2 linked regions of the Oryzias latipes genome follow. The protein of the gene in region 1 purifies or fractionates together with the protein of each later gene. This does not show direct contact. Links are inferred from orthologs where the notes say so. Each region holds a gene or a part of one and is shown on either strand. Other genes may lie near its edges. The genes, in order: rpl7l1 and rexo4.

Region 1 (4,415 bases):
TTCATAAAGCTAATTTTAGAGATCACACAAATGAACTTTTCATTAAGTCAGGTTTATAACAACTTAAAAACATAATTGAATTGCAGACCTTATTAGTTATATTTAAAGCCAGAAACAGAGATTTACCAGAAGACTCATAAAAGCTTTTTATTTTTACCACAGGAGATGAAAATCATAGGAGAAAATTTGATTTCAAACAACAGATTGCTGGAACAACATTAAAGCAAAAGTGTTTGTCTATAGCAGAGGTAAAAATGTGGAATTCCCAGGAGAATCAGTTAAAACGTGGTCAAAATATTATTCAAGTTAAACGGATGTATAAAGCTAAACAAATTAGTTTGTACAAACTTGACTGTTGAATGGAATGTTTGGAATGTATGAATTAAATGAATGGAATGTATTTACTGTGTAGTGTTTAAACTGTACATTGTGAAATCTGAGCACAGGTGATGGTGAGAGAAATGTAAATATGATGTTTAAAAGGGAGCAGATAATTATAAGAATTGTGTTCTTCAATTCTGCTCCCTTCTAATCATGAAAATGTTCAATATGTAAGAGAAACATGTAAATATTTGAACATCAATTTTCATGAATAAATAAATGAATGAAAAATGAAAATGAAAAAACCCAAATCCGTCCAGACAGGCAAAGGGAATGATATCCCAGAATCCCTTGCGGTGCCGATCTAACAGCAGCACCAAAGTTACACCTACTTAATTGAATTAATTTGAACGAAAGGAAAATAATTGTCTAAAAAACTATGTGTTATTTTTAAGGTGACCTAACAAAAAATGGTTTATCTTAACTGAAGCAAATAATTAAGTTAGATCAAAGTAAAAGTTTCTCTTTCCAACATCCATTTGTGGTCTTATCACCCTCTCATGGTGGAAAAAGTATTATCTGAGCTTCTTCATCCACTAAATCATCTTCAAATGGACACGCCATGCTGCTTCACCTCTCTGAAAACAAACTAACCTTCAACTAAACCTGCTCCAGACCAGGTTATGTTCAGAGCATGAGTTGCCATGGTAACTTGATCTACCCTGAAACATACCTCCATTTCTGGAACTGAAAGCTGAGGTTATCCACTTCCTTAGCCTCAAACTTATCGTGGGAGCTAGCAGAACCTGCCTTCTGGAATACCCCCCAGGATTGGTTACACCTGGCTAAATGAATCCGTGTCTGCTCATCCTGGCTTGGTCTTTGTGCAACCAATTAAGCCTGGAAGCACATCTTTTGGCTTCATTGAGCTCAGCTCAGTCATTTATCCCGGATGTCTTAATTCTAATTTTGTGCAACAGGCCTCTGGTTATTGAGGAGAATCTAAGGGTGTTTTTGTTTTGTTTTTTTCCGGTATGGTTGGTAGGTAGTCCCCACTCTGACCCACACTCCAACGCAGTAGGTGGCGGTAATGCACCTTTACGCTGGTGCCTCCCGCCAATAAAAGCACAAGAAGAAGAGTGAGCCGGAAGGAGACGAGCGGAATCATGGCTGAACCGGAGTGAGTGTTTTGGTCTTTCATCCTCGTCCATCCTCGGTCTGTGTCCGTCTAATGGTCCGTGTGACCGCGGTATCAGCCAGCCGGCTTTCATTGAGGGGGGGGGGGGGGTCCGTTCACGATCCTCCATTACGGAGCTCAAATGAATTTTATAAGGGTTTCCAAAACCCCGCACGGGGACAGCTGTTTCGGTGCCAAAAACACGCATCTGTGACATTTTTATGCTGAAGGTCGATCAGCTGTTTGAGCGGAAACACAAACGTCTGCTGTCCTGCTGCTGCAGGTCCCAGAAGGTCATCAAGCTGGTCCCAGAGTTCCTCCTGAAGAAGAGGAAAGCCTATCAGGCCATCAAAGCCACCCAGGCCAAGCTCGCACTGCTGGAGAAGAGGAAGGTGGGTAATGTAGTCCTGTTGGCCTGGACTACAAACAAGGGGCCCGTCCTGTAACATTTCTCTTCAGGTCGCTAGAGGGAAGCCACTAAACTTCAAGCGTCTGGAGGATTTCCTGAAGGATGGACACATCAAGCACCGAGACGAGACCCGGATCCGGAGATCCAAACACCGGCCGGCGCCTGCTCTGCCCCCGGCGGGGAACAAGTTGGCCTTTGCCGTCCGCATCAGAGAGTGAGTGGACCTGCACCTCCTCCACAGTGGAACGTCAGGTTAAACGCAGAGGAACGTCAGGTTATGCACAGAGGAACGTCAGGTTATGCACAGAGGAACGTCAGGTTATGCACAGAAGAACGTCAGGTTATGCACAGAGGAACGTCAGGTTATGCACAGAGGAACGTCAGGTTATGCACAGAGGAACGTCAGGTTATCCACAGAGGATCGTCAGGTTATCCACAGTGGAAGGTCAGGTTATCCACAGTGGAAGGTCAGGTTATCCACAGTGGAAGGTCAGGTTATCCACAGAGGAACGTCAGGTTATCCACAGAGGAACGTCAGGTTATCCACAGTGGAAGGTCAGGTTATGCACAGAGGAATGTCAGGTTATCCACAGAGGAACGTCAGGTTATCCACAGAGGAACGTCAGGTTATCCACAGTGGAAGGTCAGGTTATGCACAGAGGAATGTCAGGTTATCCACAGAGGAACGTCAGGTTATCCACAGAGGAACGTCAGGTTATCCACAGTGGAAGGTCAGGTTATGCACAGAGGAACGTCAGGTTATGCACAGAAGAACGTCAGGTTATGCACAGAGGAACGTCAGGTTATGCACAGAGGAACGTCAGGTTATGCACAGAGGAACGTCAGGTTATGCACAGAAGAACGTCAGGTTATGCACAGAGGAACGTCAGGTTATGCACAGAGGAACGTCAGGTTATGCACAGAGGAACGTCAGGTTATGCACAGAAGAACGTCAGGTTATGCACAGAGGAACGTCAGGTTAAACGCAGAGGAACGTCAGGTTATGCACAGAGGAACGTCAGGTTATGCACAGAAGAACGTCAGGTTATGCACAGAGGAACGTCAGGTTATGCACAGAGGAATGTCAGGTTATGCACAGAGGAACGTCAGGTTAAACGCAGAGGAACGTCAGGTTATGCACAGAGGAACGTCAGGTTATGCACAGAGGAACGTCAGGTTATGCACAGAGGAACGTCAGGTTATCCACAGAGGAACGTCAGGTTATCCACAGAGGAACGTCAGGTTATCCACAGAGGAACGTCAGGTTATGCACAGAGGAACGTCAGGTTATGCACAGAGGAACGTCAGGTTAAACGCAGAGGAACGTCAGGTTATGCACAGAGGAACGTCAGGTTATGCACAGAGGAACGTCAGGTTAAACGCAGAGGAACGTCAGGTTATGCACAGAGGATCGTCAGGTTATCCACAGAGGATCGTCAGGTTATCCACAGAGGAACGTCAGGTTATCCACAGAGGAACGTCAGGTTATCCACAGAGGAAGGTTAGGTTATCCACAGTGGAAGGTCAGGTTAAACGCAGAGGAACGTCAGGTTATGCACAGAGGAACGTCAGGTTAAACGCAGAGGAACGTCAGGTTATGCACAGAGGAACGTCAGGTTATGCACAGAGGAACGTCAGGTTATCCACAGAGGAACGTCAGGTTATCCACAGAGGAACGTCAGGTTATGCACAGAGGAACGTCAGGTTATGCACAGAGGAAGGTTAGGTTATCCACAGAGGAACGTCAGGTTATCCACAGTGGAAGGTCAGGTTATCCACAGTGGAAGGTCAGGTTATCCACAGAGGAACGTCAGGTTATCCACAGAGGAACGTCAGGTTATCCACAGAGGAACGTCAGGTTATCCACAGTGGAAGGTCAGGTTAAACGCAGAGGAACGTCAGGTTATGCACAGAGGAACGTCAGGTTAAACGCAGAGGAACGTCAGGTTATGCACAGAGGAACGTCAGGTTATGCACAGAGGAACGTCAGGTTATCCACAGAGGAACGTCAGGTTATCCACAGTGGAAGGTCAGGTTAAACGCAGAGGAACGTCAGGTTATGCACAGAGGAACGTCAGGTTAAACGCAGAGGAACGTCAGGTTATGCACAGAGGAACGTCAGGTTATGCACAGAGGAACGTCAGGTTATGCACAGGACGTTATGCACAGAGGAACGTCAGGTTATGCACAGAGGAACGTCAGGTTATGCACAGAGGAACGTCAGGTTATGCACAGAGGAACGTCAGGTTATGCACAGAGGAACGTCAGGTTATGCACAGAGGAACGTCAGGTTATGCACAGAGGAACGTCAGGTTATGCACAGAGGAACGTCAGGTTATGCACAGAGGAACGTCAGGTTATCCACAGTGGAAGGTCAGGTTATCCACAGAGGAACGTCAGGTTATCCACAGAGGAACGTCAGGTTATCCACAGTGGAAGGTCAGGTTAAACGCAGAGGAACGTCAGGTTATGCACAGAGGAACGTCAGGTTAAACGCAGAGGAACGTC
Region 2 (4,324 bases), on another chromosome or scaffold:
AAAAGACAACCTTTGAGGAAAGTGTAAATATTCATTTATAAGCAACAGAGTTATGTGATATTCCAAATTGAAATCTTTTTAGAATTATTGGGATTATTAGAAGAATTTTCTTTTAAATGAGAAAAAGACAATCCAATTTAAAAGTTAAACAAGACTTCTTCATTTGGCTTAATACAATTTTGCCGACTTATTAAATTGTGTAGTTTTAAGCCTAAATATGAACATAACAGGCCTATTAAAAAAATCCTACTTTTTACCCAAAACAACAACAACACACAACTAGCGTTTTAAAGTAATTTACAATATTTAAGTCACTACCATCCTGCCATCTTTCAGCTGAATTTTTAAAAATATATATAAACACAATAACCTTTTACTAATGTATACCTTGAGATATAAATAACTTAAAAAAAACTAATTATTGAAAGAATTCTATTGAGAAAAAAATCCAAAAAGGCTTGTTTTTTTTAAGTGAAGTCACATTGAATTAATGGCAGTCTGTTTTTCAGGTGGTCAACTATTTATCACCCTAGTAGTAAGGAGATTTAAATCTCCACCGAGAAACGGTTATTCTATTTTAACTCAAGTGAGTCGTCCTGCACATTTACAAATTTCAATGAGATTAGATTTATGGCAACATAAACAAAAGGAACAGAATGTCTTTGCTATATTACCAAGAGCCGTAGAGATAAGTAATTCCACAACATTTTACGTTGAATGACATCTTCTGCAAATAGAACTATGCTTCTAATTTGAAAGAACATGATGTGATGGGACTTAACTTACAGAAGCCAAACTGGGAGCCAAGGAAGAGAACAAACCCATAGATTGCTCTCTCTGGCATAGGTGATGGGGAGTTTTCAACCATGATCTGAAACCAGAACACAAACAGACCATCTATTGGGTAAAATAATCGAAAATAAACAATGACAAAAAGTCACTAAACTTACCGACAGATAATAAGTGTATTTTGGTTCGTAAGAAGAGCAGCAAGTTTACAAAAACCCCTAAAAACAGTTTAAATGTTTCTCAAATAGCTTGTTTATATCGTACCATCAGCTAGGTTCAACGATAGATAAAATCCAATTCTACTATTTCAAACGAAACATAAATAAAAATGTAAAAAGTGCATCTAATCATATTACGCCAAAACCTAGCTGACTGCTGTCAACAAAACGTTAGTCCATCACCTAAATGAGTTCGGTCAGAAACTGTACATCAGGAACAAAAGACTTTAAAGAAATAAAGCAAAATTACATATCAATCTTGTGTTCTTTGTTAGTAATGTATAGATATTAAAAACTATTTTCAAGCTTGAAAAAAGAAAGAAATAAAAAAATCAACGAAGGGAGAACTTTCTGCCGCTCGAACGAATCATGTTACTTTTTTCCTGACGAACATATTTGACTGTTACTCATTCCAGAAGCACCGCAGCATGGCTTCGTGAATGTGAAGGTAAACAACTTGAAACATAATTTTTCCCTGTTTGGGAGGATAATAAAGTGGCTATTTTTGCTAATAGAAACAGTGTGTGCCCTTTATCTGGGATACATATGTATGTGACACAGCGTTAACTGTTTTCGTTTACATCTCACCTAAAATTGGCTTCTTTCAAAAACGTGGCTGTGTAACACAGCAAATACTCCCTGAAGTTTAAAGAAGTGCGACCACGATGTCTAAAATCAAAGGAAAGGAAACTCCTGCTGGAAAAACGCAACAGCTGACGTCCAAAGAAAAAAGGAAGAAGTTTTTTATAAAGCATAATCGTAAAAAACAAACTTCCCAAAAGACTCTAAACAAGAAAAATCTAGAAAATCCTGGAGCAAAGCAAACTGCACCACCACAGGATCCCCAACAGTTTTCTTCCAACTGGAAAGCATTACAAGAGGTTTGTCTGACGAATATTAAACTCTATGCTCTTCATAAGCTGTGCAACTACTTATGTGAAAATGTATTTACTTTTAAAATGTAATTATCTTCTTTGTTTCCTGAACATGGCAGATCTTAAAGAGCAGTCAGCCAGAGAAGAAGCAGCCTGTTACACCAAAACATCGGAATGGTGTCTTCCCTAAGAAGTTTAAAGGAAATGAGCCTAAAAAGTTTCAAAATAAGAGCCCTGCTCCCAGCCAGGTGCACACAGACAGAGAGGGAAAAGTCAAAAGTGGCGATGCCCCAAAGGAGGATGGGGTGAAGGCAAAGATCCACGCCGCCTTAGACAAACTGCAACCTGGTGGTGCAAGGAAAAGGCAAAACGAAAAGACAGACAATGAGAAACCAGCCAAGAAAAAGAAGCCCGTCACTGAAGAGAGGAAACCCACAGAGTATGTATCCTTATTGCTAATACTTGACTTCAGTTCGGGTTTGCCTTGTAATCTTTGCTTGTGCTGCTGTAGGGAGGACCTTTGGTTTGATGACGTCGACCCTGACGATATTGAGGAAACGATGGGAGCCGAGGCTGCAGAGATCATGAGGAGGAAACAAGGCATGAAAACAAGCAAGAACGTAGATAGCGTTCTGGTAAAAGAGAACGCCTTTGATGGGTAAGAGAAACTGTTTTGTGTTCTTACGGTCAAAATGCCACACCTTCATTTGCTATCGATCAACTCTAGTTGAAATTCACCTTTCTTTATAGAGCTCTTTTCCTGTTAAAAAACACCTCAAAGTCTTTTACATAAATAAATAATAATTATATTAGTATTTATAATAAACACATGTTGTGTACAAAAACTAGCAGGAAAAAATAATCCATAAAATCAAATTAAAACATGAGGAAATGTAAAATCGACATAAAAGCTAAACTAAAAAGGTGAGTTTAGGCCAAAGTTCTGCCATGTGGCCTCGCTGTGGGTTTTTGTTTATGACCTCAGGGAGCACCAGCATAACTGGATCTGAGGGCTCTGGGAGGGTCGTCTGCTAACACCAGCTTGATTAAAATTAAAGTGCAATTTCATTAAACTAAGAAAAGTACCTTAAAATCGATCCTAAAGCTGACAGAGAACCAGATATTTCAAATTTGGAGTCCTTCTTTTTGTCCTGATATTTTTTGATAATTTTTGCTCAACAATCATTATTATAGTATATTGTTTTAATCTCATCTGCTGCTCTTCTTCATCATTGTTTTCTTGGTCGGATGTGTAAAAGTGTTGAAAAAGTCCATTCCTAGCAACTCTTTAATCTAGTGGGATACTTCCCGTGTGTGTTGCTCTCTTTGGGCATAAGTATGAGTCTTAAAATCGTCGGATTGTTTCGCAATTGCTTCCTGATGAATATGCAGCCATAGCTGTTGCAGAGTTTATGCTCATCTCAACCTGCAGCAGACTGGCTCCAACAGACTCCCTAAGTGGAAGTAGTTGGAAAAACAGCCGTTGCCTTTTTAAACAAGTTTTTGAAAAAATCGGTATAGTTGTCAGTTATACCCCAATAACATCAGATGTTCTCTTACTTCTCTCAAAAGAGAAAATGATTTAATAATGTTTCAGGTGATTTCTGTGGAGAAACTTTAAAACGGGCAGCAGAAAGACTGGACTGTTTCATTAGATGACCTTTTGTTTTCTCCACGTTTGTACGTATGAATATCAGCATCACCAAAGCTGTAGCTATTGATTGTGAGATGGTGGGAGTCGGTCCAGATGGGGAGGACAGCATCCTGGCACGTGTGTCCATCGTGAACCAGTTTGGAAAATGCATCTATGACAAATATGTCAAACCCACAGAGAAGGTGACAGACTACAGAACAGCTGTCAGTGGGATCCGACCGGAACACATTAAAAATGGTAAGAAAACGAGACATCACTGTATACTTAGATGTTTATTGCTTTCAAACAATCCTCTGTGCTTTTGAACAGTGTCAAAATGTGATTTTTTTTTTTTTACAGGGGAGGATGTGCATGTTGTGCAAAAGGAGGTGGCTGAAATTCTGCAAGGAAGAATTGTGGTTGGTCATGCAATTCACAATGACTTAAAGGTATTGTGTTGCCTTAAAATAAATGTGTGCTCCAATAAAACAGCTGTAGCTCTCCTCTTACAGAGTCTGTCAACTGTTTCAGATTCTTCTCTTGGATCATCCAAAGAAGCACATTCGGGACACTCAGAAGTATAAACCCTTTCGGAAGACTGTAGGGGTAATTATAGAAAGTTCTTTTGTTTTTACTGAGACTTACTGGTAGATCGTCTGTGGAAGGTTCCAGACCTCATCTTAATAAGAACAAGTTTATAAATGATTTTATATTTTAGAGCGGCCGACCTTCGTTGAAACTCCTCTGCAGAGAAATCCTGCATGTGAAGGTGCAGCAGGGAGAACACTCTTCTGTAAGTTGGAAATAAA

What was found.
Region 2: the proteins of rpl7l1 (region 1) and rexo4 purify together in Homo sapiens (affinity purification with mass spectrometry; 3 studies listed by BioGRID and IntAct, with this or other methods). This does not show direct contact. The link is inferred for Oryzias latipes from reciprocal best matches to the Homo sapiens genes RPL7L1 and REXO4.

What each region holds. Positions count from the first base shown.
Region 1 is NC_019882.2:435,886-440,300, reverse strand, and holds the start of rpl7l1 (60S ribosomal protein L7-like 1), read left to right. Parts: upstream 1-1,366; 5' UTR 1,367-1,487; coding exon 1,488-1,501; intron 1,502-1,781; coding exon 1,782-1,890; intron 1,891-1,957; coding exon 1,958-2,121; intron 2,122-4,415.
Region 2 is NC_019877.2:8,249,240-8,253,563, forward strand, and holds the start of rexo4 (RNA exonuclease 4), read left to right. Parts: upstream 1-1,400; 5' UTR 1,401-1,672; coding exon 1,673-1,888; intron 1,889-2,001; coding exon 2,002-2,321; intron 2,322-2,393; coding exon 2,394-2,540; intron 2,541-3,579; coding exon 3,580-3,773; intron 3,774-3,875; coding exon 3,876-3,964; intron 3,965-4,046; coding exon 4,047-4,121; intron 4,122-4,233; coding exon 4,234-4,308; intron 4,309-4,324. Other genes in the region: pigp (phosphatidylinositol N-acetylglucosaminyltransferase subunit P), read right to left, coding at 787-868.